4 linked regions of the Lonchura striata genome follow. The protein of the gene in region 1 interacts with the protein of each later gene in a pairwise test. Links are inferred from orthologs where the notes say so. Each region holds a gene or a part of one and is shown on either strand. Other genes may lie near its edges.

The links.
Region 2: the proteins of FLNA (region 1) and PELO interact in binary tests that used the Homo sapiens proteins (3 or more experiments, as listed by UniProt). The link is inferred for Lonchura striata from reciprocal best matches to the Homo sapiens genes FLNA and PELO.
Region 3: the proteins of FLNA (region 1) and KLHL12 interact in binary tests that used the Homo sapiens proteins (3 or more experiments, as listed by UniProt). The two-hybrid records come from large-scale screens. The link is inferred for Lonchura striata from reciprocal best matches to the Homo sapiens genes FLNA and KLHL12.
Region 4: the proteins of FLNA (region 1) and RFLNA interact in a two-hybrid assay, tested with the Homo sapiens proteins (2 studies listed by BioGRID). The two-hybrid records come from large-scale screens. The link is inferred for Lonchura striata from reciprocal best matches to the Homo sapiens genes FLNA and RFLNA.

The regions. Positions count from the first base shown.
Region 1 is NC_134638.1:1,280,094-1,287,071, forward strand, and holds the start of FLNA (filamin-A), read right to left. Parts: upstream 3,001-6,978; coding exon 2,658-3,000; intron 1-2,657. UniProt on the Homo sapiens protein: Promotes orthogonal branching of actin filaments and links actin filaments to membrane glycoproteins. Anchors various transmembrane proteins to the actin cytoskeleton and serves as a scaffold for a wide range of cytoplasmic signaling proteins.
Region 2 is NC_134642.1:33,089,534-33,096,388, reverse strand, and holds the start of PELO (protein pelota homolog), read left to right. Parts: upstream 1-3,843; 5' UTR 3,844-3,960; coding exon 3,961-4,686; intron 4,687-5,809; coding exon 5,810-6,241; 3' UTR 6,242-6,855. UniProt on the Homo sapiens protein: Component of the Pelota-HBS1L complex, a complex that recognizes stalled ribosomes and triggers the No-Go Decay (NGD) pathway.
Region 3 is NC_134632.1:520,397-528,237, forward strand, and holds the start of KLHL12 (kelch-like protein 12), read right to left. Parts: upstream 3,019-7,841; coding exon 2,935-3,018; intron 2,709-2,934; coding exon 2,511-2,708; intron 1-2,510. UniProt on the Homo sapiens protein: Substrate-specific adapter of a BCR (BTB-CUL3-RBX1) E3 ubiquitin ligase complex that acts as a negative regulator of Wnt signaling pathway and ER-Golgi transport.
Region 4 is NC_134620.1:13,310,964-13,318,956, forward strand, and holds the start of RFLNA (refilin-A), read left to right. Parts: upstream 1-4,976; 5' UTR 4,977-4,984; coding exon 4,985-5,338; intron 5,339-7,993. UniProt on the Homo sapiens protein: Involved in the regulation of the perinuclear actin network and nuclear shape through interaction with filamins. Plays an essential role in actin cytoskeleton formation in developing cartilaginous cells.

The sequences.
Region 1 (6,978 bases):
CCCGAGCCCCGCGAGCGGCGCCCCCTCCCCAAATTCCTGCGCTGGGAGGAGGGGCCGGACCCCCCCATCCCCCACCCCCCCTTAATTTTGGGGTCGCCCCAAATTGGGGGAGGGGGGAGCCTAAATTGGGGGGGGGGTCCAAAATTGGGGAGGGGGGACCCTAAATTGGGGAGGGGGTCCCAAACAGGGCCCTGTAAAAGGGGGAGCCCCCCTAAGAGGGGAGGGGTCTCCAGGACCTTCCCCCTTTAATTTTGGGGTCCCAAATGTGGGGGGGGGGGGGTCGCAAATTGGGGGGGGGTCTAATTTAGGGGCGTGTCCCAAATTTGGGGGGGGGTCTCAAACGGAGCCCCCCCCCCAGGGTGGGATTTGGGGGGGGAGGAGCCTCCAAAGCCCCGCCCTAAATGTGGGGGGGGGTCCCCAAAATATTCCCGGGGGGGGTCTCATAAAGGGGAGGGGTCTCAGGACCCTCCCCATCACTCTGGGGTTATTTGGGGAGGGGTCTCTGCGCCCCCTGAGACCCCCCCCCAAATTATCGAAGGGGGTTTGCCCTCTCCAGGACCCCCCCCCCCAATTTCGGGGTGTTTTTTGGGGAGGGGTCTCCCCAATTGGGACCAGTTGGATGCTCCCCCTCTTGGAGACCCCTCCCCATTTTTGGGAGCGGGACCCCCCCCCAATTTCTGGGCTCGTCCACGACCCCTCCCCAATTTCCGGGGCCTTTTGGGGTCGGGGTCCCGCCCCCTCCTCACCATTAAAACCAGTCCGAGCTTCCCTTCCGCAGAGACCCCTCCCCATTTTGGGCTCTGGGGGTCTCCCAGTTGCCCCCCCCCCCATTTCTGGGGGTCCTCCAGGAGCCCCCTCCCCAAATTCCCGGCCCCATTTTGGGGAGAATTCGCCGCTTTTTCCCCACCCGGCCCCGCCCCGCTCCTCCTCTCGCAGGGACCCCTCCCCTTCCTCCGCCGGCCGGGGGGTCCCCCAGCGGACCCCTCCCCAAATTTCAGAGCCCCCGCGGCTCCTCCAGGAGCCCCCTCCCCAAATTCCCGAGCCCGTTTTGGGGAGAATTCTCCACTTTTTCAGCAACACAAACCGCTCCCATCTCCCTTTTTCCCCCCAAAATCCGATTTTCTCCACAATTCCCGTTTCCCCCCATCCCGCCCCGAACCCCCTCGGAGGTTTTTTGGGGGGTGGTCGCACGACCCCTCCCCCAATTCCTGACATCCTTCCGGGGGTATTTTTGCCCCCTCCCCACCACCACAAATCGCTCAGATTTCCTTTTTTTTCCCCAAAAAAATTTCAACGCTCCGTAACTGCCACTCCCCCCATGGCCCCACCCCGAGCTCCACGCTCTTTTTGGGGGGTGGTCGCACGCCCCCTCCCCAATTTCCGAGACCCTTTTAGGGCGAATCCACCACCATTTTATCAAAAAAACCCTAAAAATCTAATTTCTGCCTTTTTTTCTCCCCAAAAAAATCCAACTCCCGCTTCCTCCCCACGGCCTGAACTTTTTTGGGGGGTGGTCGCACGCCCCCTCCCCAATTTCTGACCCTCTTCTGAGACGTTTCCAGCCTTTCCTCACCATTTCAACCTCCTTTTTTCATCCAAAACTCCAAAATTCCGACTCCTCACTAACTCCCACACCCCCCCACCCCCAAAAATTTCCGGGAGGGGGGGGGGGTGGTCGCACGCCCCCTCCTCAATTTCTGACCCTTTTCCACCTTTTCCTCACCAAATAATCCACTCCAATCTCATTTTCCCCCCAAAAATCCCAACTCGTCCCTAACTCCCACACCCCCCCAAAACTTTCAAAACTTTCCGGGGGGGGTTGGGGGTTGCTCTCACGCCCCCTCCCCAATTTCTGACCTTTTCTCGACCCATTTCCACCCTTTCCTCACCAAATTAGCCACTGGAATCTCATTTCCCCCCCCAAAATTCCAGCTCCTCACTAAATCCCACACCCCCTCCCCAACCCCCAAAACTTTCCGGGGGGGGTTGGGGGTTGCTCTCACGCCCCCTCCCCAATTTCTGACCCATTTCCACCCTTTCCTCACCAAACTAACCACTGGAATCTCACCCCCCCTCCCAAAATTCCAGCTCTTCACTAACTCCCACACCCCCTCCCCAACCCCCAAAACTTTCCGGGGGTTGCTCTCACGCCCCCTCCCCAATTTCTGACCCTTTCCCGACCCATTTCCAGCCTTTCCTCACCAAATTAACCACTGGAATCTCACCCCCCCCCCAAAATTCCAGCTCTTCACTAACTCCCACACCCCCTCCCCAACCCCCAAAACTTTCCGGGGGGGGAGGGGGGGGGGTTGGGGGTTGCTCTCACGCCCCCTCCCCAATTTCTGACCCATTTCCACCCTTTCCTCACCAAACTAACCACTGGAATCTCATCCCCACCCCCAAATTCCCAACTCCTCCGCAGCCCCCACCCCCTCCCCAACCCCCAAAACTTTCCGGGGGCAGTTGGGGGTTGTTCTCACGCCCCCTCCCCAATTTCTGACCCTTTCCCGACCCATTTCCACCCTTTCCTCACCAAACTAACCACTGGAATCTCATCCCCCCCCCCAAAACCCCAACTCCTCCGCAGCCCCGCTCGCCCCCGGGGCCGCCCCGCTCGCCGCCCGGCCAGCCCCGCTCGCCGCCCCGGAGGTTCTCACCGATGGACACCAGCTTGATGTTCTCCCTCTCCAGGAACTCCAGGGCCACCGAGACGTTCTCCAGCTGCATCTGGCGGAAGGTGGGGCGCGCGTTGTACTTGCGGCCCATCTGCTTCTGGCTGAGCACCTCGAGCAGCGCGATGAGGCGCAGCCCGTCGCCCAGGTCGGTCTGCAGGTTGCCCACGCGCTTCTGGACGCATTTGAGGTGCTCGTTGCACCAGCGGGTGAAGGTGTTCTGCTGGATGCGCTTCCAGGGCGCGTCCTCCGCCAGGTCCTTCTCGGTGGCCGGCATCTCGGGCTCCGCTCCCGGCTCCGCGCGGCCCCGCCCGCCCGGCGCGCTCATCGCGGGGCCGGCCCGGGGCGGCTGCGGGGAGGGACGGAGGGAGGGAGGGAGGGGAGGGGCGGTGAGAAACCGGAGCTGGAGAGCGGGGTAAGGGGGCAGCGCGGGGACGGGGGGGACCAAAGGGGGTGCGGGTAACGGGGGTGCTGGAAACGGGGATACTCAAAATGGGGGTGCTGGTAACGGGGATACGGATAACGGGGATCCGGATAACGGGGATGCTGGTAACGGGGGTGCTGGTAACGGGGGTGCTGGTAACGGGGGTGCTGGTAACGGGGATACTCAAAATGGGGGTGCTGGTAACGGGAATACGGATAACGGGGATCCGGAGAGCGGGGATACGGATAACGGGGATGCTGATAACGGGGATCCTCAAAATGGGGGTGCTGATAACGGGGGTGCTGGTAACGGGGGTGTTGGTAACGGGGGTGTTGGTAACGGGGGTGCTGGTAACGGGGATCCGGAGAGCGGGGATCCTCAAATGGGGGTGCTGGTAACGGGGATCCGGATAACGGGGATCTGGATAACGGGGATCCGGAGAGCGGGGATCCCCAAATGGGGGTGCTGATAACGGGGGTGCTGGTAACGGGGATCCGGACAACGGGGATACGGATAACGGGGATCCGGAGAGCAGGGATACGGATAATGGGGATGCTGATAACGGGGATCCGGATAATGGGGGTGCTGATAACGGGGATCCGGATAACGGGGGTGCTGGTAACGGGGGTCCGGAGAGCGGGGATCCCCAAATGGGGGTGCTGATAACGGGGATCCTGATAACGGGGATCCGGATAACGGGGATCCGGATAACGGGGATGCCCAAATGGGGGTGCTGGTAACGGGGGTTCTGATAACGGGGATCCGGATAACGGGGATCCCCAAAATGGGGGTGCTGGTAACGGGGGTGCTGGTAACGGGGGTCCGGATAACGGGGATCCTCAAAATGGGGGTGCTGATAACGGGGATCCCCAAAAATGGGGGTGCTGATAACGGGGATCCACATAACGGGGATCCTGATAACGGGAATCCCCAAAATGGGGGTGCTGATAACGGGGATCCCCAAAAATGGGGGTGCTGACAACGGGGATCCAGATAACGGGAATCCTGATAACAGGGATCCCCAAATGGGGGATGCGAATAACGGGAATCCTGATAACGGGGACCCTGATAACGGGGATCCCCAAAATGGGGAATGCGAATAACGGGAATCCTGATCGGGGATCGCCAAAATGGGGGATGCTACTAGTGGTAATCCTGATAACGGGGATCCTGATAACGGGGATCCCCAAAATGGGGGAGGCTGATAACGGGAATCTTGATAACGGGGATCCGGATAACGGGGATCCCCAAAATGGAGGATGTTACTAATGGGAATCCGGATAACGGGGATCCCCAAAATGGGGGATGCTAATAACGAGAATCCTGATAATGGGAGATCCCCAAAATGGGGGATCCCGATAAGGGGGGATCCCAAAAGGAGGGATCCTAATAAAGGGGGATGCTAATAATGAGGGGTGCTAATAATGGGGGATCGCAATAATGGGGCAGTGCGTAATGGGGGACCCCAAAACGGGAGACCCTAATAACGGGTGACCCCAATAATGAGGGACCCCATAATGAGGGGCCCTAATAATGGGGGAGAGCCCAAATTAGGGTGCCCAGAATGGGGGGTCCTTATAATGGGGGATTGCGATAATGGGGGAGCCCAAACCGGGCGATCCCAAAAAGGGGGTTCCTAATAATGGGGGGATCCTAATAATGGGGGGATCCTAATAATGGGGGATGTGGCAGCCGGGCAGATCCGGAATGGGGGATCCTACAATGGGGAACCCCAATAACGAGGGATCCTGATAATGGGGGAGCCCAAAACGGGGGATCCCAATAATGGGGGACCCTCAAAATGAGGGATCCCATTACCGAGGGAACCCCACAAGGAGGGGATCCCATAGTGAGGGACCCCCAAAATGAAGGGATCCCACAATGGGGAAATCCCTGGAGTAAGGGACCCCACAATCAGGGGACCCCAATAATGGGGTACCCCCATAATGGGGGATCCCTGTAATGACGGACCCCAATAATGGGGGATCCCCATAATGGGGGAATCCCAGAGTGGGGGACCCCATGAGCATCTTCACCTGGGCACCCCCAAAAGGAGGGACCCCAATAATGAGGTACCCCCAATAAATGGGGGATGCCCACAAGAAGAAACCCTAATAATGGGGGACCCCAATAATGATGGGACCCCCACAATGAGAGACCCTCCCCAAACTCCCCCAACATTTAGGGGTGCCCCAATTTGGGGTGACCCCCGGCTCTGCCCCATTGGCCCCAGATTGGGGGGGTCAGGGGAGGGTCCCCACCCTGTTGCCCCCTTCCCATTCCCGGGGTCCCCCGGACCCCAAAGGTGGCCCCAAGTGGGGACCCCCACCCCAAAAAGGGGGGCCCAGCCACTCTGGGCTCCTCAGACCCCCCCAAAAAAGGGGGGGGGGGGTCCCATTCAGAGGGGTACCCCAAGCCCATTAGGGGGTCCCCAGCCCCCAAAGCACCCCCAGGGGTCTCTCAAGGGGGTCCCCCAAAATCGGGGTCCCCCGTTATGGCGTTCCCCCAGCCCCATTTGGGGGTCCCCAGCTCCATTTTAGGGGTTCCCTCAAAACGCGCCCCCAGGGGGCTCTCAAGGGGGTCTCGGACCCCAAAATCGGGGTCACACCTTGGGGGGTCCCCCAGCCCCAATCGGGGGAGCCCCAAACTCGGGGTCCCCCTCGCGCCCCCCGCCCACCCAAAGCCCCCCCAAACCCCGCGATCCTGGCGGGGGTCCCGGGGCTACTCGGGGCTCTGGGCTCGGTTCCCGGGGGTCCCGGGGGTCCCGGGGGTCAGGGGTCGGGACCGGGGGGGTCGGCGCCACCCAGGGGTGCCGGTCCCGCTGCTCCGGCGGCCCCGGTGGTCCCCGGGGCTTGAGGGGGGCTCGGGGGTCCCGGGGGCTCCTCACCTGCTGCTCGGTCTCGGTGGTCCTCGGGGCTCGGGACCCGGCGGTCCCGGGGCGGATCCGAGCGGTGCCGGTGTCGGTCCCGGGGAAGGGATCGGAGGTCCCGGGAAGGGATCGGTGGTCCCGGGGAAGGGTTCGGAGGTCCCGGGAAGGGATTGGCGGTCCCGGGAAGGGCTCGGTGGTCCCGGGGATGGTTCGGCGGTCCCGGGGATGGTTCGGTGGTCCTGGGAAGGGATCGGTGGTCCCGGGGATGGTTCGGCGGTCCCGGGGAGGGCTCGGCGGTCCCGGGAAGGGCTCGGTGGTCCCGGGAAGGGCTCGGTGGTCCCGGGGAGGGCTCGGTGGTCCCGGGAAGGGCTCGGTGGTCCCGGGAAGGGCTCGGTGGTCCCGGGGATGGCTCGGCGGTCCCGGGGAGGGTTCGGCGGTCCCGGGGATGGTTCGGTGGTCCCGGGGAGGGCTCGGTGGTCCCGGGGATGGTTCGGCGGTCCCGGGAAGGGCTCGGTGGTCCCGGGAAGGGCTCGGTGGTCCCGGGGAAGGGCTCGGTGGTCCCGGGGATGGTTCGGTGGTCCCGGGGAAGGGCTCGGCGGTCCCGGGAAGGGCTCGGTGGTCCCGGGGATGGCTCGGTGGTCCCGGGGATGGTTCGGCGGTCCCGGGGAGGGCTCGGTGGCCCCGCGCGGTGGCGGTGCCGGTACCGGGGGCTCGCGCGGCGCGCGCGGAGCCTTAATTGGTAACGAGAGGAGCGAGCCCCGCCCCGGGGGGGGCCGGGGGGGCCGGGGAGGGGCTGGGGGGGGCCCGGGGACCCCTAAAAGGGGGGAGGGGGGATTTGGGGAGCCCATCAAGGGGGAGGGGCGGGTTTGGGGGGGCTCTTGGGGTGGGGAGGGGTCGGGGGGTCCCCCATGGGGGGCTCTGGGGACTGCGGGGGGGGGTTGGGGAGGGGCTGGGGGGCACCCGGGGGGTTTGGGGAGCCCATAAAAGGGGAGGGGCGGATTTGGGGGGGATCC
Region 2 (6,855 bases), on another chromosome or scaffold:
GGATGGCTGAGTTTACTTCAGCTGGTCTCTATGCAATTGGTTTGACTAGGGATCTGCTGAAGTTTTCTCCAGCCCTACATTTCAACAACTAAAGAATGAAGAAGTCAGTTTCAAGGGTTCCATTACCTTTAAAAGCTCCCTCACTTAACAGTGTTATGCAAAGCCTGTTCCCTCCTGGACTTCTTTATTGATGATGGTCTTGCTGTACTCATCTTTATAACAGAAAAGATAAATAGAAAAAGACAGAACTGTATGCAGAAAATGAAGTGATCTTTGTTCAGAGTCTGTACAAGCAGGACAGCCATAGGACAAAGGCAAAGCATGAAAACAGATGTTTTCCCAAGTTTCCCCTCTCCATCTGTCTCTTTTATATTCCTCTGCTCTTGAAATAATAATGCCCAACATTTCTTAGCAGACTTCCCCCTACATCAGAAATTCTTTTCCATTAGTTTTTCTTATCCAGAATGTAAGCATGTTTGCATGAATTCTAGCTAAAGTGTCTATAATATGGAGAAGATGAGATTTCCTAGGAAAATGACCCCTCCTTGTCTAAAATCTGTATGTAACCCATCTTCATAAAGTAGTTGACCAAGAGTTGAAGACATAGGGAAGCGTGTCTAAAACATTTTCAGAATAATAGCTTTAGATAACCAGCATGGCTCTAAAATCCCTAAGAATATATGATACCACCATTTTCATTTTATCTTGCATTGTACTTAAGAAGGTCCAAAAATGGATGTCAAATTGCTGCAATTATTAATACCTATAGAAGTGTATTTACAAAGTGATTTATTGCAAGAACTCTTAGGTCCTATACATAGTCTCAATCTTATACCAAGACAGGAACAACCTATGCCATTTTGAACTTTCATGTTAAAACTATGAGGATTTGGAAGTACCCACTTGTTTTGGCTCTACCATGGTCAAATTCATCTCTCTTCCTGTCATTAGCACAATTAGAATAAACTTAGAAACTTCTGTGATTCTTAATTTTTTGAGATATTTTTCTTCTACTGCTCATACTTTGACATACTCAAACAAATAATAATATCCTATATTTACTTTTTTTACCAGAGTAGGCAAAGCATCATCATCTCTAGTAAATATTTTCCTTTCTAAGTTGACAATAGTCCTGCTGATAGTGGGTAAATCCATTGAAGTTTACATTTGCCACTAAATATTTGTGGATCACTGTTCACAACTCTATAAATCTTACAACTTGCTGTTTGAGAAAAGGCCCATATCAAAATGTTTCTTTCTACAACAGGTAATTGAAACTTTTGAGTGGCAACTTTGTTTCAAAGTTGGCCTTTCTTCTTTGGTTGTGGTTTTGTTCTTCCTGAATTCTTGCTTTTGGGGTGTGTGAGGCGGGGTGTGTGTATGCACACATGTGTGTTATTGTGGGGTTTTTTAATGCAGCAAGTCACTTATTTTCCTGAATGAAATGTTTATTTTTTACTGGATAATACTGGATGCCAACTTGCAACCTTTATCTAGAATATATTGCATCTCCAGGGATGGTTGTAAAAATTTGACTGGAATGAATAAGCACAGAAAAGTCTGTAAATACACAGCTGTAAAATAATAAAAAGTAAAATACATTTTAATGTGGAAGTTAAATATGCACCACAACTACTTTTTCTTGAAAGAATAGCGTGAGGTCAACCTTTGAAATTTTATAGTTGCAAAGAATGTAAAGAAGAAAATCTGCCATAAAATCACATTCAGCATTTATATAGATAAGTGAAAGGAACTCTGAAAGTAAAGTTGAATGCACACTAGTGCAAAATTATTAATACAAACAAGTTAAACAGTTACTTACACATGTGCTTATGTTATATTCCCTTGGGTGGTCCTGCTTGATTCTGTGAAACAATTCATGCTAACAGAGTTAAGCATGTGTACTCACAGGAAGAGAGTCTGAGGTCTGATAAATAAATCCTATTATGTAATATCTGATAAAGTTGTTTTTACACCAGTATCAAGCTTAGGGAAAAGGAACGCACATTTCTGAGCCAAATCTGAGTTCACTGTCCTGTCACAACTGACTAAAGCTAGATACTTCTGAGAAATTTATAGGTTCACCATAATGGAAGATATGGGATTATTTTTGCTCACAGTAGCCTTGTATCTCATCAAATTCTTGACTCCAAAGCCTTCCCAAGTCAGCAAATTCCATAATCATAGTGAGTTGGTTTTTTTTTTTCTTAAATAGCTAATAGAAACCAGAAACTTCCTTGTGACCACCTTCTCATCTGTAAGAAGATGCCATCAGAAGATGCTTTTCTATAGTAGACCGAGTGTGTAATCATTCCAAACTTATCTGCTGCAACTGCCCTGACACACTTAGCATGGCATATTAGTGTGCTGAACTTTTCAACCTATTTTTATTTAATAATTTCTCATGCAAGCATTTTTTTTTCTATTCTTCATTCTTTCCCATGATCTATATTCGTAACATTCATTCTTAAATGGAGTTTTTAGTGTTGTACACTGTTTCAAAAATTAGCTACAGAAATCAGAATTACAGAATTATATATTTTAAGGGATTGGAATGAACATTATAGATCATCTAGTCCCAACCCACCCTGCTATGCGCAGGGACAATTCCCACTCAACAATTCCCAGCCTTCTCAATTCCTTGTCCAATGAGTACCAGGGTTGGGGAAACCACAGCCTTCCTGGGCAACCAGGGTTTAGGCACTATTCCAGTGTGTAACCACCCTCAAAGAAACATTTCTTCCTGTTATGTAACTTAAATTTCCCCTCTTTCAGTTTGTACCTATTACTTATTGTCCTGTCACTGCAGTTCCTGATGAAGAATCCCTCTCCAGCTTCCCTCTTCCCTGTAAGATACTGGAAGGTTGCTATGTGGTCTCAGCTTTCTCTTCTTCTCCAGTATTCCTCCCTTCTTGTATAGTGATAGAACTTTTCATTATTTCTGGATTGCTAAATTCATTTAGGCTGAAAATTCAGCTGTGTAATGATGGTTCAGGTCCATTTTCTTTATATGTCTTTTATCAAGGCATCTTATTTCTCTATGTGAACATCCAGCTTCGTTTGAAACGTGCTCATCCTGCCTCCCTAGCATGTCAGAACTGGAAGGAAGCTGGTCAAGGTTCAGCACGGGCTGAAATGTAACTTGCAAATTTAACCAAAACCTTTTAAACCGGAATTCAGTTTAAGAGCAGCAGCCAAGTAACAGGTCATGTTCTGATGTTGCCTGGTTTTCGTTTCCATGGGTGACGGCCGCCTCGCTCCGCCTCAGTCAGGCGGCGCTGGGGGTGGCACTGCCGTCCCCTGGCTCCTTGGCCTCGCCGAACCACGGCACCTCTTGCCTCTTTTGCCAGCTGCGCCTCTAAGTTTCCAACAACTGCTTGGCTTTGGCCGTTTGGTTTTGGTTTGGTTTTCGCCTCTCGTGTTTTGAAACGTGTGGCACGGCGTTAGGAGACTCCAGGAGTTTGGACGGCCGCTGTGCAGCGCTGGAGGGGAATGACGAACGGGGGGGCGACCCTTCCCACGGGGCAGCGCCCGGCAGCAGCAGCGCGGGCAGCGCCCGGCAGCAGCAGCGCGCCCCTCCCCGCGCCCCGCCCTCACGCCGCCCCGCACTCTTCCTTCGCTGACGCACCTCGGGACGCGCCGCCCGGCTACCGCGCGCGGCGCCTCGCGCATGCGCCGCGCCTGCGGCGACCGAGCGCGCCCCGGCGGCGCCTCAGGAGGGAGCGGCGTCTGTGCGCGTGCGCCGTGGGGCGGCCGGGGACGCCGCGCGTGCGCGTTTGTGCCGGCGGCGGGCGCGCTCGGGAGCGCGGGGTTGGGGCGCGCCGGGAAGGCGGCGCGGGTGTCCGTCGGTCCGTCCGGGAGCGTGCGCCCCGCGGGGCCCGGCCCTCAGCCTGCCCGCCGGGGGCACGCCTGCCGCCCGCTGCCGCCGCGACACGGGCAGCGACGCGAGGAGCCGCCAGGATGAAGCTGGTGAGGAAGGACCTGGAGAAGGATAATGCGGGGCAGGTGACGCTGATCCCTGAGGAGCCTGAGGACATGTGGCACACCTACAACCTGCTACAGGTGGGTGACAGCCTGCGCGCCTCCACCATCCGCAAGGTTCAGACCGAGTCGTCCACGGGCAGCGTGGGCAGCAACCGCGTCCGCACCACCCTCACCCTCTGCGTGGAGACCATCGACTTCGACTCACAGGCCTGCCAGCTGCGGGTTAAGGGCACGAACATCCAGGAGAACGAGTACGTGAAGATGGGCGCCTACCACACCATCGAGCTGGAGCCCAACCGTCAGTTCACCCTGGCCAAGAAGCAGTGGGACAGCGTGGTGCTGGAGCGCATCGAGCAGGCCTGCGACCCGGCCTGGAGCGCCGATGTGGCGGCCGTGGTCATGCAGGAGGGGCTGGCTCACGTCTGCCTGGTCACCCCGAGCATGACGCTGACTCGAGCCAAGGTGGAGGTGAACATCCCCCGCAAGCGGAAAGGGAACTGCAGTCAGCACGACCGGGCTCTGGAGAGGTTTTACGAGCAGGTGGTGCAAGCCATCCAGAGGCATATCAACTTTGAGGTGGTGAAGTGTGTACTGGTGGCTAGCCCAGGCTTCGTGCGGGAGCAGTTTTGTGACTACATGTTCCAGCAGGCAGTCAAGACTGACAACAAACTTCTGCTGGAGAACAGGTCCAAGTTCTTACAGGTAAGGATCTAAGCAGTTTCTAGAGTAGGTAAAAAGAGGCTTGAGAGTTGCGTATGATAGTAAAAGGTAGTTACATGGGAAATAAGTCACTAAAGAAAATAAATTTCTGACTGAGCATCATGAGAAAATTATTCTTATGTCTCCCAAACTATAAATGAGTTGTGCGTAGTATAAGGATGGTTCCCACATAGGATACCTTTATCTGGAATAGAGAAAGTGTTAGATATTTCAAACTCCCTGTAAAGGCATATTGGCTCTTCAATTAAGTGTGAAGTTTAAGTTGGAAAGTACTTTGCACTGTTACGTTGTCACCTGTATAGCATCCATGTTTAATAACAACTTTCCAAAGATGTTTTTTTAAAAGTACCTGAATGTAGTATAGGTTAATTAATTTTGTATTAACAAATTTAACTAGAATTTCATTGTTAGTTTTGTACCACATATTTAAAGGCTCTGTTTTTTTCCTTGTTTCTTAGTCATCTCATTGATTGAGTGCATGGGGGTTTAGCTTTATACTAAAATAGTCATATTCAGGACCTAAAATACGTTTTCATAAGGATTCTTGTATTATTTTTAGATTGGAGTAGGCCTGGGGTGATCTGGGGGCAGGGATAGTGAAGTGAGTCCCAGTACTTAGGAGACCCAGTGCACCAAGAAAACCCTCCTGTTCCATGTGTAACAAAGTGATAATAGAGAGAAGTAGCTTTGTGACCATAATAATTGCACAGAGTTGATGCTTTTACACTATATGCCTGCAGTGTTGAGGGTCCTTCCTTTTCTTCAATGCTTTAAAAGAGAGGCGTAGGCTTAGATTTGAGTTTCTTGGTAGTTTCAAGTAGCCGTATCTTGGGAGCTGTTGAGCTTGTATATTTAATCCAGGCTTTGAATAAGAGAGGCAGTTGTCTTTTTCTGCTTCAAAGACAGTTTAAGGGATTTGGTATAGGCTCTGTGTTGCAGGAGAGATTAAGAAAAGAATCATGTGTATGTCAAGAAGGACACAAGTTCCCCAGATAATTATCGAGATTAATATTACATATCATGGAGGGTGTTTGTGATTGGTTAATAAAGAAAATGGTCCTTTTTTTTCAAAAACACCAAACTTTTGACTTTGTTTTCACTCTAGGTCCACTCTTCCTCAGGACATAAATACGCACTGAAAGAAGCACTCTGCGACCCAGCTGTAACTAGCCGTCTTTCTGACACTAAGGCAGCTGGTGAGGTCAAAGCCTTAGATGACTTCTATAAAATGCTGCAGCATGAGCCTGACCGGGCTTTTTATGGCCTGAAACATGTGGAAAAGGCCAATGAAGCCATGGCCATTGATACCCTGCTGATCAGTGATGAGCTTTTTCGGCACCAGGATGTGGCTACACGTTCCCGATATGTTAAATTGGTAGATAGCGTACGGGAGAACATGGGCACAGTGCGCATTTTCTCCAGCCTCCATGTGTCTGGAGAGCAGCTGGGCCAGCTGACAGGGGTGGCAGCTATCCTGCGCTTTCCAGTTGCTGAGCTCTCTGACCAGGAAGATGAATCTAGCTCTGAAGAGGATTGATAACAGTGGCTTCATTCCACAGTTTCTTTTCAGTGTCATGTTGAAATTACATTAAAAGGTCCTCCTCACCTGAATACTGTGTGCACATGTACCATGACATGTAATTAAAAAGGTTTAATAATAAACATATACATGCATATATATATAGCTTTATGTAGCACACTACTTGATATCTGATGTATGGTAATAATTATTGATATGCTGTGCTGAGCTGACTGTTTTTGCAGTTCCAGACCACCAGCAGTACAAGAAACTAATTTGGCTCCTCAGTGCTGGTTGGTCTGCATGTTAAGGCATACTGCCAACTTAGGTGAAATGTGTAAGAAAAAATAGTAAGCTAACAGGGCGAAATTCATGTTGTAATATTTCTTTTCAAATGCTTGAAAAGAGTATAGTGAAACAAATGCAAACTTCTTGGGAGACTTGTCAAAACTGTGCTCGATCTTCATAGGTGCTCCCTGTTCTCTGTAAGGTGTGTCAAAGGAATAGGGTCAATATCAATTCTTAGGGCTTAGTGTGGTGATGTAAGTCTAACCACTTAAATATTTCTGTGAAACACTTGAAGCAGTCTTTCAGCAATGAGACCCTTTATCTTAACCATAACTTTACATTTC
Region 3 (7,841 bases), on another chromosome or scaffold:
AAGACAAATACCAGTGCACAGCCAAGATCCAGGGGTGATAAAACTGCTCTGCAATTTTCACTACAAGGAACAAGCCTGCAGGTAAAACTGATGGTGTTTCACTTTTCCCACACTGCTTAGCACAGGGGCAAAGGAAAGTGCTCTAAGAAACCTGGGGTTCATCAGGTGGTCAGTGGCTTCTTCTCATGCTGTAAAACAGGAAGGAACATAAAATGGGAAGAAATTAATACTAAGCTAGACTGAGAACTTATTTTAAAATGTTAAAAGTCAGAAGTGAGAGAAGGAAGGAAACTTGAGACACAGAGAGGCAAAGGCAGTTCTTTATGACAACAGTATCTGCTGACAGTCTCAGTGCTGTACTGGCTATGCACAGATGTGACACCAGGAATACTGTGGCATAACCCCAGGATAAAATGCCAGGGATGCCATGACATAAACCCAAAATCAATTCTGAACAAAGCCTCATGCAGCCCAGCCTGGCACATCAGAGCAGCCAAGCAGTCCCCAGACCTGCAGGAGGCAAGCAATGGAGAGCTGAGAAAGCCCTGGCAGGGCCTGTCAATCCATGACACCACACAGACTCTGAGCTCCCTGGAGTCCAGTCTGGCCAAACCCTGCACCCACAAGTGCCTGGAGAGTGTCCAAGCAGTCCCATCACAGGCCCCGACACACTTGTTGCTGACACACACAGGAAACATGTCCACTCTGAGGCTTACCAAGCTGCCCCTTCCTGGCCCCTAGTTGTGTACCCCTTGGCAGGTTGGTCACTTTAGGGTTTCCATAACAAAGACACAAGTTTGGAAGAAACACAAACCAAGCAAAAGAAAAGAAACCCTTAAAGCAGAGGCATTGTGGGAGCACGAGAGAACAAGCAATTTTGCCTACTGAGCACAGCTACTTTCCCAGGAAGAATTTAATTTCCTAGGAAGATTCTCAAGTCTGAATGAAGGTCACTATGATGTTACAGCTAACACGAGTGTAACGAAGCAAGGAGAGACATCTCAGCTCAGACCCAAAGCACACCAACCCCCAGCCTTTGTTAGCAGCCACAAAGAACCTTCTGGAGCACACGGAGTGATGGGATCTCTGCACACGAAGTCCAGAAGTCAAAAGCACTGACAGGAACATGGAGGCAAACCTAGAGAAGCAGAGATACTCTGCTGTACTGCTGAGCACCTAGAGCTACTGGAGAACAGAGAACTTCAGCCACTAGGGATTGAATGTGCTTTGTGTGTTTTCATCATCTAATTACATTTCCTTTATGCAGAGAAAGAGCACAAACCTGATGAATTTACAAATTTCATGAAGATATGGACAAAAAAAGGTATTGGTCTGAGGTCAGGCTACACATGCATCATTTTGGTTTCTTTAGACAGGACTTCAAACACCTGCTGTCCTGACAGCACTGAGATAAGTGGGCACACAGAGAGCTCTGCCACAGCCTTTGTGCCTGGGTGAAACAAAGAGAAAAATAATTCTCTGCTGCAATGATTCTTCAGCTAGCAGGGAGGGCTTTAGGACCTGTGAGCTACTTAACAATGTTTCTCCCTGCTCACGGGGAAGGTAGTAGGATAAGGAAAGCATCTTCCATAACAGAAAGCTGGTAATATTGACTACAACTTATAAAGACAAAGCCAGGCAAAGCATCTGACATTTAACAGAGTGCCAGCTGCAGCTGAAGCAGTGCCTGTCAGTGACTCAGGGAAACTGCACACAGGTAGTGCAAGTTTCACAGGAAGGGCTGAGAGCCAGGGTGCTCACAGGTGAGATGTGCTGGGTGCAGCACCTGGGGCTCAGAGCCACCCCCATGGCAGGAGAGCAGCACAGCCCAGCTCTCCGCCAGTGCCAAGGGCAGCCCAGAGCATGCATCAAACACCCTCCCTTGCACTGAAAGGGTTGCCCAGAATCCCCAGCACGGCTCCCACAGCTCTGTGCCAGGCCAGGAAAGATGCCCGCAACCACGGAAACCACAAAGCACCACTAGAAAAATAAGTAAATGTATCACAACTCTCTGGCTTGGCAGCTCAGCCTGGCAGCTCGCTGGGCACAGGGTGGTCGCTGCAGACGGTGAATCAAGGCCAGAGTTCCTGCCACAACCTCTTAACTCCCCACCAGGTCACAATAAACGGCTCTGGGGCCACCATAAGAAGACACAGAATCACCTCGAAAGGCTCCAGGACCACCAAGACAGAACCCAGAGGGCTACAGGGCCAGCATGGAGAGATTCACAGTGACCAAGGACCACCATGGAGTAATCCAGGGCCACCATAGGGATTCCTGAAGCACCCACAGCCACCATGAAAGGATCAAGAACTACAACGGGGGCATCCTGAGCAACCACCGGGAGTATCCAGTGGACTCCAGCATCCAGGATCACCACAAGGGGATCCTGGGCCCCCACGGGGGGATGCTGGCCCAGCTGCTGAGCAGCTCAACAGAGAACAGCCCAAGGACTGGGCGGCCCTGCCTCCTCCACCCACGGAGCACCCAGGGCCGGCGGCAGCACCGACCTCGCTGGTGAACATGGCGCAGAAGTAGTCGCTGCAGGCGGCCAGGACGATGCGGTGGGCCGGGAAGTCCTTGTGCTCCACGCGGAGGGTGACGTCGCAGAGCGTGTTGCTCTTACGCAGGGCGTTCATGGCGTTGAGGATGGACTTGGCGTGGGAGTTGGTCATGATGTCCTTGGGGGGGGCCATGGCGCGCGGCACCTGCGGGCACAGCCAGCACGGCCACATGGCACGGCGCCCGCCGCCGCCAGGGGGCGCTGCGCCGCGCCGCCCTCAGCGCCCGCCCCGCCCGGCGCCCCCGCCCACCGCGACCCCGCGGCGCGGCCGCCCCGGCGACACCCGCCCCGCCCGGCCCGGCCCGGCCCGGCTCGGCCCAGCTCGGCTCGGCTCGGCCCGGCCCCGCCCCGCCCGGCCCGGCCGCACTCACCGCCGCGGGGAGAGGTCCTGGCCCGCACACCTCGCCTCCCCCCGCCCTTCCCTCTCCCCTTGCCGCGCGCTCTGATTGCGTCATCGCGCCGCGCGCGGAGCGCCCCGCCCCTGGGTGCCGGGCGGTTGCCGAGCAACGAGCCCGGGGCGGGCCCCGCAGCACCCCCCAGCGGCCCCCGCGGGACCTGCAGCGCGGAGAGCCTGAGGGGCCGGGCTGGAGAATCCCTGAGGGAGCTGGGAAGGGGCCGGAGAATCCCTGAGGGAGCTGGGAAGGGGCTGGAGAGTTCCTGAGGGAGCTGGGACAGGACTGGGCTGGAGAATCCCTGAGGGAGCTGGGACAGGGCTGGAGAGTTCCTGAGGGAGCTGGGACAGGACTGGAGAATCCCTGAGGGAGCTGGGAAGGGGCTGGAGAATCCCTGAGGGAGCTGGGACAGGGCTGGAGAGTTCCTGAGGGAGCTGGGAAGGGGCTGGAGAATCCCTGAGGGAGCTGGGACCGGGCTGGAGAATCCCTGAGGGAGCTGGGGCCGGGTTAGAGAATCCCTGAGGGAGCCTGGACAGGGCTGGAGAATCCCTGAGGAAGCTGGGACAGGGCTGGAGAATCCCTGAGGGAGCTGGGGCCGGGCTGGAGAATCCCTGAGGGAGCCTGGACAGGGCTGGAGAATCCCTGAGGGAGCTGGGACGGGGCCGGAGAATCCCTGAGGGAGCTGGGAAGGGGCTGGAGAATCCCTGAGGGAGCTGGGAAGGGGCTCAGCCTGGAGAAAAGGAGGCTCAGGGGGACCCTGTGGCTCTGCACAGCTCCTGACAGGAGGGGACAGCCGGGGGGTTGGGCTGTGCAACAGGGAACAGAGACAGGAGGAGAGGGAACGGCCTCAGGCTGGGCCAGAGGAGGTTCAGGTTGGATACTGGGGAAAAGTTCTTCCCTGAAGGGCTGATCAGGCCCTGGCACAGGCTGCCCAGGACAGTCGGCATGGAATGGTGGAATCACCACGCCTGAAAGTGTTTAAAATATGTGTGGATGTGGCCCCTGGGGACATGGTTTTACGGTGAATATGGCAATTCTGGGGAGTGGTTGGACTATGTGATCTTAGAGGGCTTTTTCGACCTTAATGATCCTGTGATTCCATGGTTCTCGGTTCGCTGCCGCAGGGCTCTGGAGGCAGAGCCCTCACAGAGCTCTGGGCATGGTGTGAGCTGCTCCTTCCCCTGGTGCTGCTCCTGCCGGGTGAACCCCTGGAACTGGCTCTGCCAGGGCTGCGGGAGCCAAGCTGTGAGCCAGGCACCAGGAGCCTGCTTTAGAATCCAGGATTTTAAAATTCATACTATTTTTGAGCTCTTCCCACACATGCAACTCAACATCTCCAGCAGATCGCCTCCAGCTGACAGCCCTGAGCCGCCTCCGCTCCCCTCCTGCCCTCGAGCTTGCTTCCAAGCCTGCTTGGGGATGAATTTTAAAACCTGAATCCATACAGTCAGGTGCAGAGTCATTGTCAACAACCTGAGATAAATTCCCAGCTAAATGTAGAACAGAGTATGACTTAAGAAACCTGTACATCAAGGTTGAGATATTATCCTGGACTGCAGGCTGATCATTAATTCAAAAGCTTCCTCCTCCAAGAACCAGGGTCACTCTGTTTGAAGGCTGTACATGGAGTGAGAGTTTGGAGGATTTGTTTGACCTCAGACATGCTAAAGAAGCAAATGATTGGCAAGACCCAGCAGGTGGAGATGAGAATCCAGTGTTTGGCAAGGAGGGCAGTTTACCACTACCTTCAGAGCTGGCAGATGCTCTACCAGGGGGGATTTTTGAGTCAGCAGCACTTCATTCTCTAGATACAACTCAAGCAGAAATTGTGCTGGAGGCAGGTACCAGTATGTGTGTGAGACTGCATCATCATCTGCTCCTCTGGGAGCTCTAAGCCAGGAGGGATGTGTGACCAGAGTGTGAGAGCAGACTCATGCATGGGAGATACAGCCTGGAAGAACAGAGGAAAGAGGCAGCACTTGCCTGCTTAGTGCTCTCTGTGCACCTCATTTCCCAGCTGTCAGCCTCTGTGTCCACCTGGTGCTGATTGTCCAAGGCTACAGATGAAATCCCAGATAGTATCAAATGGGAACAATCAGTGGCTCCCCCACCATTTGTAGGGGTGCAGCCTCACCTCAAGTCTGGGGGACAGTTTTGGGCACCACAATATAAGAAGGATCTGAAGTTATTGGAGTGTCCAAAAGAGGGACACAGAAATAGGGAGGGGTCTGGAGGGGCCACACGAGGAGCGGCTGAGGGCACTTGGTCTGTTCACCCTGGAGCCTGAGGTCAGACCCCACTGGGGCTGCAGCTCCTCAGGAGGGGCAGCTCCGATCTCTGCTCCCTGTGACAGGGACAGGACCCCAGGGAACAGCTGGAGCTGGGCCAGGGAGGGTTAGATGGAGATCAGGGAAAGGTCCTGCCCCCAGAGGTGCTGGCACTGCCCAGGCTGCCCAGGGAATGGGCACCGAGGCTGCCAGAGCTGCAGGAGGGTTTGGACAGCGCTGCCAGGGGTGCCCAGCGTGGGATTGTTGGGTGTCTGTGCAGGGCCAGGTGTTGGACTCCATGATTCTTGTGGGTCCTTTCCAGATCAGGTGTTCTATCTATAACTTGATTATTTTTTTCAAGAAAATAAAACTGAGGAAAATTAAGGCAGCCACTGTAAAAATTGCGTATTGAAATTAAACTTTATATCTCAAAGGATGAAAAGCACACCATAATTTACTGTATGTTTGTTAATTAGGTACAAAATCTTATTTGAATGGTGACATATATTGCATTGCTCTCTATATTAATGTTCTGCATATATTATTTATCCTTTTAAATACATATTTTTAATATAGGAAAAAAGAACTAAATAGAGAAATTATCATATTTGTGCAAGCAAGAGCAAGGTGCATCGTAGGGCTCAGAAATAATGTACAAATAAATTCACTGCAGCAATATTCTTTCAGAATAAGCAAGTAAGTAGAGCAGGGGCTTTGAAAAGGAACATGTAATCCCATTTGTGGGAATGCATTTCAACCCCACAGTGGTGATGCTGTCTAGAACACTCTATACAAACACACCATGCTCCAAAGGCATTTCCATGTACCTGGACAAGGCCCTGAGCAGCCTGATGGGATGTTGGTGTTGGCTCTGCTCTGAGTGGGGTGGGACCAGCTCTCTAGGCCTCTGATTTAAGTTGCACTTTGGGTCTGGGTTAATGTCCACAGCCAAGTTCCTTGGCTTGATTGATAGGACCTGTCTGGTCCTTGGAGTGTCCTCTGGGATTGCATAGAAAGGTCCCAGCTGGTGTGGTGCAAGGGAGAAACTTGGGAGAACTTCATCTGTAGCTTCCTTTGGGGTTTTTCCCTCAGACTGGCTTGGACTTAGACACCTCCTGCCACTGGAACAGGGCCAGCCTAGTGAGTGGAGGAGCCACCTGTGCTGTGCCTATTTGAAGAGGCAGTTGGGATGTGGAGGAATGGCTTTTGAAGTCTGTGTTCCATGACTTTTGGGGTGGATGGTACTGAATCTCACCTGCAGCAGAGCTGGTCAGGCCAGCTCTTGTGCCCCAGGACTTCCTGCAGAGTGCTCTGACCCAAACATGGCACTCCCTGGTGACTCAGGTGTTCTGCCAGCCCTGTGCTGGGACATCAGGGACACAGTTCCCAGCATTTGTGGGAACAGTCTTGGCTCTCCAAGGCTGCAGTGTGTCCTGGCTCAGTGTCTCCTCCACAAGCCAGGCTGGGGAACCTGCTGTCACACTGCCAAGCAAACCTGGTTTTCTGCAAATGTGAGTTTGTGCCTGCAGGTCCTGTAGGTTAAGAATACTTAGATGTGATCCCCAGGAAGCACAGCTGCTCTGGCTGTGCCCCAGCCCTCCTTCTCTCAGATGTACTCACTCTTTCTCTTAGAAAGACAAGTCAGACTCTTTTACTTGGGAACAGCAGTGCAGAGCCCAGATGCCCAGTTTCAGGTGTTTTGCATTTGCTGTTTGTGTGGATCATGGTTGGAATCCCTCTCACTCCTCCCTTGCTCCCTTGTCTGCAGCTCACAGGGATAACAGTGCTTGGAGCTGTCATTGCCCAGCAGAGTAACCTGGGGAGGGTTGTTCTCCCACAGCTGTGCACTTGGGAAGGTGGTATGGTTTGGTATGGCTTGGACGAGTGTGAGTCTGCCACAGGGAGGAACAAGGATTTCAGGGAACAGATAGATGGATTTTGGAAGAGCTGAGGTTGCATCCAAGCCACCTTCAGGACCTCACGGAGCCCATGTGACTCGCACTGCACTGTGGTGTTCAAGGAGTGGAAGTGTGCAAGAACTCTGGAGACACAGATCAGATGTGCCCATGAGATAGCAAGGAGAGCTTTGGCGTGAGTACAGGCAGGACCATTACAAACAATTCTCATTGATTAAAAAAAAAAAATATTTGAAATACTTTAGTTATAAAAAGTTTTTTGGAGGCTCATGTACTTCTAGACACAAGACTGATGTCTTTTATTGTTCATTCAGAGAGAAAATGTTTTCTGTTGAAGTTTCTGTTATTAGAAGTTTCCTTTTTCTCTGAGAGTTTTATCCCACGAGAGTTTTTATCCTCCGAGAGTTTTGTCCCATTCTCAGTTCTTTCAGGGCATGCAGAATTGTGGTGCTGTGGGAGAAGAATGGTTCCGGGAAGGCAGAGGAAGAAATGTTGGAATTGGGTTGACTTTAAGTCTCTTATGTCAAAACTAACAAAAGCTACCACCAGATTTGGGAATATATTCTTGAGAACATTCATCCTCTGGAAGATAATCCTCCACCGACCAGAGGCACTCAAAGGCTACTGCCAAGTAACTTCTGGTTTCAGCTCCTGCATGGAGCTGTTCATCTGAGGAGCCTGAGTCTGTTCTCAATTCCTGTGC
Region 4 (7,993 bases), on another chromosome or scaffold:
TCTGTTTGCTGTGATTTATGAATGGTTTCGCTGTTGATTATCCTCCAAGATTACAGCACAGCAGCCCTGACAGACAAGCAGAGGAAATTTCACAGGATAGCAGGCAGCTCCTTCTCTGGGGCAGTAAGGCAGGGAGGTGTGTTTTGATTCAGGTATGTAACAATATCTGACTGGACACCACAGGCAATTGAATACTCATCATGTGGCACCCTACTCAAAGGCAAGCAGGGTCAGTAGAAGTCTTGATAATTTTTCTGCACTCCAGAGCCTTTGCTCATTCTGTAATACAGTGTTCAGCTGGGGTTTTTTGTCTGGATTGTGGCACAAATGTACAAACTGCAGTCAAATATGAAAAGGCAACATTCTCATTCAACCCTGTGCAGTTCTTCAAAGATAATCCTTCTTTCTGAAGTCACAAAGTCTACTGCCCTGTCTGGGAGATGGACCGTCTTTTTTCAAGTCCAGGCTATTCAAAGGAAATTTGCTTCCTTTGATTTATTGCCAAGAACAGGCACTCCTGACCCCAGAAAAGGAGAATCTTGTGCTTTTCATTCCCATTTCCTGCCAGACAGTTTGTTCCAAGTCACTGCTAGGAGGGCTGTTTGTCTGGTGAGGGTAGCAGGGCCAGAGCAGGTGCAGTCATCACTTGAGGGGGCTGTGGCCTTCACTGGAGCAGACAGCCAAGACTTGGGAGTTGGGGTTGAAAAAAATTTCTGATGTAGGGGCTGCCTAAAAATAGGTAGACCTATCAGGAGGTGATTTTATCTCTTGATAAACAGCCTCTGCTTTTCAGGCAGAAAGGTTCCTTTGATTTGAACTCTGCCATGCTGCAAAATTAGTCATTATTGGCATGTGGTTTCCAGGTCCAGTCCTATGGCTGTGCTTCCGGCTCTTTGTGTCACATCTGGACCTGTGCAGTGAGCAGTGGTTTGCCGCCCTCATGCTTGGAATCATTTTGGGCTGAGGTGAACAACTTGCAGTGTGCCAGGCAAGGGTGGTCTGGGTCTGACAGACCTGAGTCCTGCTCTGTGGTCTTATTGCCTTCAGTGATGCTGCTACTTTGGTCCCTTTCAACACTGTTGTCAGGAACCCATGACAACAACCATGGCGGAGAGGGAAGGCTGCTCTTCTTTGGAGGGAACCAGAGAGCACAGTTACATCCTACTGTGCCCTGAGCCATTCTTACTGGGGCTGGAGTTACACTGTGGGTGTTCTCAAGGATTGGGTTCAACAGTGAACCAGAATGGACATTCCTAGCATTCTTCCTGTTTTGCCACCCAGCCTGCTTCAGAAAAAGTCCTGATGTAGGTGTTCGTATCCTGTCTCTTTCCTCCCTCACTGTATTTGTCTTTCAAGCCTGGCAGCAGTGGAAGGAAACTTAGCACGTGATGCTGACTCTCTGCCATGTCTGTGGGACGGCAGATTCCTAAAGTACTCAAATCTAGCTAAGAGAACAGCTAGGAAAACAGACGGCAGAGGATTCATAAAAGCATGGAGAGACTTGAATCCCAGTGGATTCGAGAAAGGATGATAGCTTTTATCCAGGAGCAGGGCTGCTCATATCAGGAGGGCTGTCTGGGTTCCTGCCTCCACTGTCCACACAGTACCTCTCTTATGACCTCCCATCTGTTTCAGGATTGAGCCTGGGATTTTGTGTTTTATAACAAATAGATCAATGAAAAATACAGTTGGAGAAGCTCTGAGAAATGTGTGTTTCAAAAAGCCCTCTAATTGCTGTTGTCAGGATTGCACCACTGCCTGAGAGTAAATCTTAACAGATACAGTCCTTCTGGACTTAGTTTTCTGCTACTTGACTTCCTGCTCCTTATTTGCTGTTGTTTCGCACTCAAATTCACAGCTAGGCAGGGTTTTTCCTTTGGAGACAGTGGAGGCCACTCTCCCCCAGGCTGTGCCTTCACACTGCTGCCCTTGTGCCACTGTGCTTGCACCTGTTTGTCTCTACTCAGCTGCTTCAGAAAACTCCTCTCCAGACTTTTCCTTCCTCCTTGTCCCACCATGCACACAAGGGCCCAGTTTCCCTTTTCCCAAGCCAAGACACAGGAATGTACCAGTCGCTAGTGATTCCTTCCAGCAAATGAAGAAGTGCTGAACTAAAGAGGGTTTCAGTGAAGCAACATGGCCTCAGCTGAAAAATTTGTTGTTTTTCTCCTTTTCTCCTTTGACAGGGCACTGTGCAATATTTAAATCCCGTTTCACCAGGCATAATTCTACCACACCATATATACACCTGTGTCTGCACACTGAATCCTTCACTAAGTTTCCATTCAGGCTGATTTTCATTGGCCAAGAGCAAGATACTGTGACTCCAGGAGGACTCTGACCAAAGTCTGAGTCACTTCTATCACAACCACCAGGACAGGAGCATTTCTTACCACCTGCCTGCACTGTGCTTTACAGAAGAGAGCTTCAACTTGGGTGTGCAACCCACTACTAACTTGAAACAGGTTACTAATCATAAGCATAACAACAATAATACCACCACAGCACACACATGTACTGCAGAACAACAACCACAATAACAATATAAACATAAGGTGTGTGCACACATGCCTTGCAGAACCAGCAGCAGTTTTGCCATTCATAAATGAAATCAACATCCCTACCAGTGCTGGGGGATGCTCAGCAGTGCTTTTTTCTTCAGCTGTTTGGAGCTCAGCAACTCCTAAACCATAACAACCACTGCTGAGCTGAACACATGTTGTAGTGAAATCTACCTTTAGAAATATACATTATTTGGGTCCAGGAAAGATTGGATTGTAGTTTTCTCAAACAAGAAACAGAAAAGTCAGTCTCCTCTCGACTGCTCCCCAAGTTAAAACAGGGTTTTCTAGGATGAAAGGACAATGCACTCACCCCTGCCCAGTGTCTCTGTCCTAGTCCTTTTTTCTCCGAGGAGGAAAGCAGCTCTGAAGACACTTCTTCCCCTTGCACACATGGTCTTGAGCCAGTTCAGGAGAGGGGCAGGGGAACTGGGCTGCAGGGGAACTGCTGGGCTGAATTCCTGACTTCACAGTATTAACTGGCCAGAGAATCCTATTACATGATAGGTAGCAAGCCAGGGACTAATTTATGGAAATTTTGACCTTCAGTCCCCTTTGACATTTTCAGATCAGCCATAGCCTGTGTGAGACATGAGAGCCCTTACAGTAAGGGGCTCTAAATCCGCCTGTGCAGCTGCTGGAGCTGACGGGCGGGTCAGAGGTAAGAATTCACTGAGGTTCGTGTGTGGGCTGCTCGGTGCCTGTTTGACATTTACAAATCAGTGACATTCCTCTGCACAGCTCAATGCATACAAATCGCTTCAGTCACTCTGTGGAGGGCCCCTCATTTCACTCAAAGGTGGATTTGGGCATCCATAGCCTTCCCTTTCAACTTCAGTAAGAAGACATAATGAGATTTGCTCCCTCAGGAGGATGCAGTGGGGGCACTTTTAAGTTCAACCCAACCACCAAGGACTTTGCACCATCTTCGTGGTTTGGGTGTGAAGCCTTTATCACTAGGTACAGTATCAGACCCCTCACATTTTCATTCATTGCCACAAGCATTGTGTTTGTCCATTTTGTAGTACAGACAGTCTCATTTCACTCAGTGCTGGGCCAATAACTCGGACCAAGAGAAGGCCAGCTGGATTTCAACAGCTTCCCATGGAAACCTATTTGCCATGAATAAAGCTCCACTGAGCTGAGCCATATGAGTGGGCTTGCCCCAGATTTCTCACAGTCTAGACTCTATGTAGAGAGAAAACATGATGAGAAAAACACAGTGTAACATTAGCCTCAACCAGTTATTGTGCAACAAATGACCATATTGGCTTCAGCCAGACTGACCTGTTTAACCACTGCTTCTTCTCTGAACCCTGAGGGTTAATTTGGACACATCATTCCCCTCCATGCTGGCAGTACCTCTGGCACATGATGCTCCTCCTGGCTAGAGGCTGTGCTGTGATTTGGGATGCTCTTCCATGGTGTTTACATTGGCCTTGCCGCACAATGGCTGGGACTGGGAGGCCGATTCCTTGGTTGTGGAAGCTGTGGAGTCAAAGAAACAGGCATGAGGGAGCAGGAGGTGTGAGGGCTGCCATGAGGGAATATGGTGGGTTTGTGCACCTTGGTAGCCAAGACCGCCACGGTGACCTGCTGTCTTGGTGAAGCTGCCCTTTGCCACCTCAGAGTGAAGAGGGACGATGGTTCTCAAGAGCTAAGTCTCTTCCCTCATGCCCACGAGCCACGACAGTGAGGGGAAAGGCTACTCTGGGTGTGTGGGGGTGAAAAAAGGATGGTGAAAATGAGAACTGAGGGGGAAATCGGCTCTGAGTGCGGGAAAACTTGGGACAGCACTGAGGGAATGAGTGGAGGTAAGCTGTGCCCCTGTGACGGCGTGATGTATGTGGCGAGGCCCCTTTCCCAGCCTTGGAGAGTGCAGAGATCGAAGAGGGACAAAAAGGAGGGGAAAATGGAACATAACTGAGGGAAAACTGAGGAATGAGCAGAGGGCAGCCACAGCTCACGGGGAGGTGTTCTGGGGACACCCCGCTCGCGCCGGCCGTGCGCGGGGGCGGCCCCGTCCCCTCAGGAGGGAGAGGGCAGGCGGGCGGCGCCGAACGCGCTCCGAGCCTGGGAAGCGCCCGAGAACGCGCGGCCGGGACAGAGCTGGGGGGCCGGGGGAAGGGGAGGGCGCTCCCCGGCTCCCTCCCACCCTCTCCGGATAAATGAGCCGCCGGGAGGCGGCGGGCGGCGCAGGCTGTGGGCGAGCGCGGCGCATCCCCGTCCCGTCCCCGTCCCGTCCCCGCCGCGCCCAGCGCTCCCTGCCGGCGGGGCCGGCCCGGGCGCTGCCGCGCGTACCCCGCGGGGCTGGGCGGGGGGACCGGGCGCCGCTTCCCTCCCCTGGGAACGCCTGAGGGCGGGGGCGGCCGGGCGGGCAGGGCCGGCGGAGGGGAGGCGGCCGGGACACCCCGGTCTGGCTGATGCTGGCAGCAGCGCCGGGCTCCGGCAGGCTGGTAGCGGCGGTCAGGACTCAGGAGGGGCCCCCCGGGCTCCCTTCCCCTTCCCTCCCTCCGCGGCGGGCGGCGCTGGAGGATTTTCTCCCGCCGCGGCCCCCTCGCTGTCCCCCAGACATGGTAGGTCACCTCCAGCTGCAAGGGATGGACGAGAGCCTGAAGGAGAAGAGCCGGGAAGGCTTGCTGGACAGTCCGGACTCGGGGCTGCCCCCCAGCCCCAGCCCCCCCTTCTACTCCCTGTCGCCCGGTGAGGGCCGGGCAGGGGGCAGCGGCGGTGCGGAGCCCCCGGGCCACCGGCGAGAGGCCAAGGACGGCAAAGTGGTAAGAGCCAAACCCGGGCACCGGGCTCTGTCCCCTCCGGGGGGGAAAGGCTGGCCGAGCTCCGGAGCGGGGCAGGCAGGAGGGCGCCTCTGGCCACTGCTCACCCTGGTCTGAGTGCCCCTCGCCGGCCGAGGGCACTCCGGGCTGCCCGTGGCGGCTGCGGTCCCGCGGTGGCAGCGCCGCTGCTGTGCCAGGCTGGGTTTTTGGATACACTCGCAGAGTGTTGGCAGTTTGGCTGGGTGAACTCTAATAACGGTGTGGGAGTGAAAACCAAAGTCTGAACCAAGCTCCCCTACCCACCTTCGGAAGAGAAAAGCGTAACTGTTTCTCAGTGACACTGCTCTGCCTGGTAGGTGCAGGTTGGAGCTGCATCCATCCGGACCGAGGCAGGGGCGTCTGGCTTCCAGTCATCATTACGCCCTGGCATCCCACATCTGCTTTGTGAGGAGCGTGGAGCCGCGTTTGCTGGAGCAAAGAAAGACAAAAGTGCCCTTTAGCTGGGGCAGGGTAGGGATGTGTGTCCGGGGAGTAGCTGCGGGACAGGGTCCGGGAAGGGCTGTGTGCTGCTGCCCTTTGCTGGAGCGGGGCTTTGTGGCATGAGCCCGCATGAAAGGTTTGTCCGCTGGCAGCCGAGCGGAGCCGGGGTAGCGGTTTGTAAGCTCAGACAGCTGGCAGAGCACTGCAGGTCTCGGTCAGCCTGATGCAGTGCCAGTGAAGCACTTGAATGTGGAGTAGGATCGGGGTAGATTTATTATGACTATTATTTTGCTTTATTTATTTCTATCCCTGAGCTATAAAACCCATTTTTAAAACACAGCGTTCAGAGCATAAGCAATGGTGGTGGGGGTTTTTAAAGGATGATGAAAGTTCTTCCCCAGGGCTCTTTAAATTTTTTTTTAAACATGTATAAAAGATGTTTGTAGGTGTATTCAGCGTGGTTAATTGGCTTTAAACAGCAGCACAAATCTTTCCATGAGAAAAATTTATCTCCTTCTGCTCTAGTGACAATTCAGACTTCTTTCCCATAGAGACATTTTGCAATGACTCCTCACACCCTTGTGCACTTTCTCAAGTTCTAAGGCCTTTTGAGAATATTACTGAAAACTGCCTTTTTCTCCTGAACATGCCAAAACCTTCCCCATGAACAATGACTCCTCACAGTGGAGAGGGTGTGAAGGCTTATTATGAAAGTCAAATCTCAAACCAGCTAACACGGCAGTTCCTAATATGGAGCCTTACCTGCAAGATGCCTGGGCGTGTGTGCCATCTCGATGGGAGTGTTTATGTACAAAGTTACCCACACGGCTCTGATTTGGCAAGATCAGGCTGTTCCCGTGTGTCTGTAAAATAAAATTGGGCAGGAAGGTGAGTGAAGGCTGCTGGAGCGAAAAACAGCAGGGGTGGAGGTGTCTGCAAAACTCTGTAATGGGGATATGACAGTCTCCATTCCAGTCATATGACAGTTGGCCATCGCACCATCCAAGAAAGTCCTTAGACATCAAAGAAGAAAGAACATGAAAAAATTTATTTCAGTTCATGGGCTGTTAGTCTTGAGAGTTTTAGTGCTTGACTCCTACAGGGAGAAAAGTTATTCCTGTGATCTGAATAAGGTAAAGTTAAGTTTTTCAATTGTTTTCATCATTAGTGAACATTTTAGACACTTCAAAAAAGCTCACACTGTTTCTACATTCTGTATCACATTGCAAGGGCTCCTGCTTAGAGTATGGGTTCTACACATTGGGAATGTATGGAATTCCATGCTCTTAGCAGGTACAGAAGGTTGCAGGGATCCAAATGCTGAAACCAGTCAGAATGTATTATTCGGAGCGATGCTGGGCTCTGTTCTTTAACTCTGCTTGGTTCACTGCAAAATAATGAAGTAAATAGGAATTTTCACTCCATTGGACTACAGAGAGTTTAACTTCCTTTCATTTCCACTGTGCAAATACTGTACTTGCAGCTGATATTAATGCAGGAAAAATATGAAGAGTATTGCTTGCTTCATACTTTGAAATTGCAGTGTCTAATTAGCTTTAATTTTGCCATTTTACAAGGGCTTGCTGATCTGTGAGCAGTTATGCAACCCATGAATGTGCTTCTGTTTAAGTCTATTCCTCTGCTGTTCATCAGAGCATGCAGAATTGGCAAATCAATAATTGCAGCTATTTGCACACCAAGAAATGCTGTTTTTAATCGCCTGTTATATTAGTGTTTGTTTTGCTTATAAACGTGACAGAGCCAGGAACAAAACCTGCACTCTTTGTGTTGGAATACTATAAAACCATACATAACTCAGTCACCAACAGCCAAGGTTCTAGTATGTACAATTACAATAAATTGCTGTCAGGTGAAGGAAACAACATTCCAGGTCTGTGTGAAGTATTTCATACTATTATTTGTTGCAGAACTATCAAACCACTGGTCTGAATCCAGTTGCATTCTTCTGCAGTCAGCTATTTTGCTCCAACTTTGCAAATATGTTACACAATTTTTCTCCTTTAGGATGGCACTTCTCATGCAGAGTAAAAGGAGATTGCATGCCTTATCGAAGATTTTCTTGTGTGCAAAATCTGTGTTCTCACTGCTCTGTGTTATTAACTGTGACTCTGAAAAAGTAAACTCTCTGCTCTTTAATAAGCACAACTTTGTTTCAAA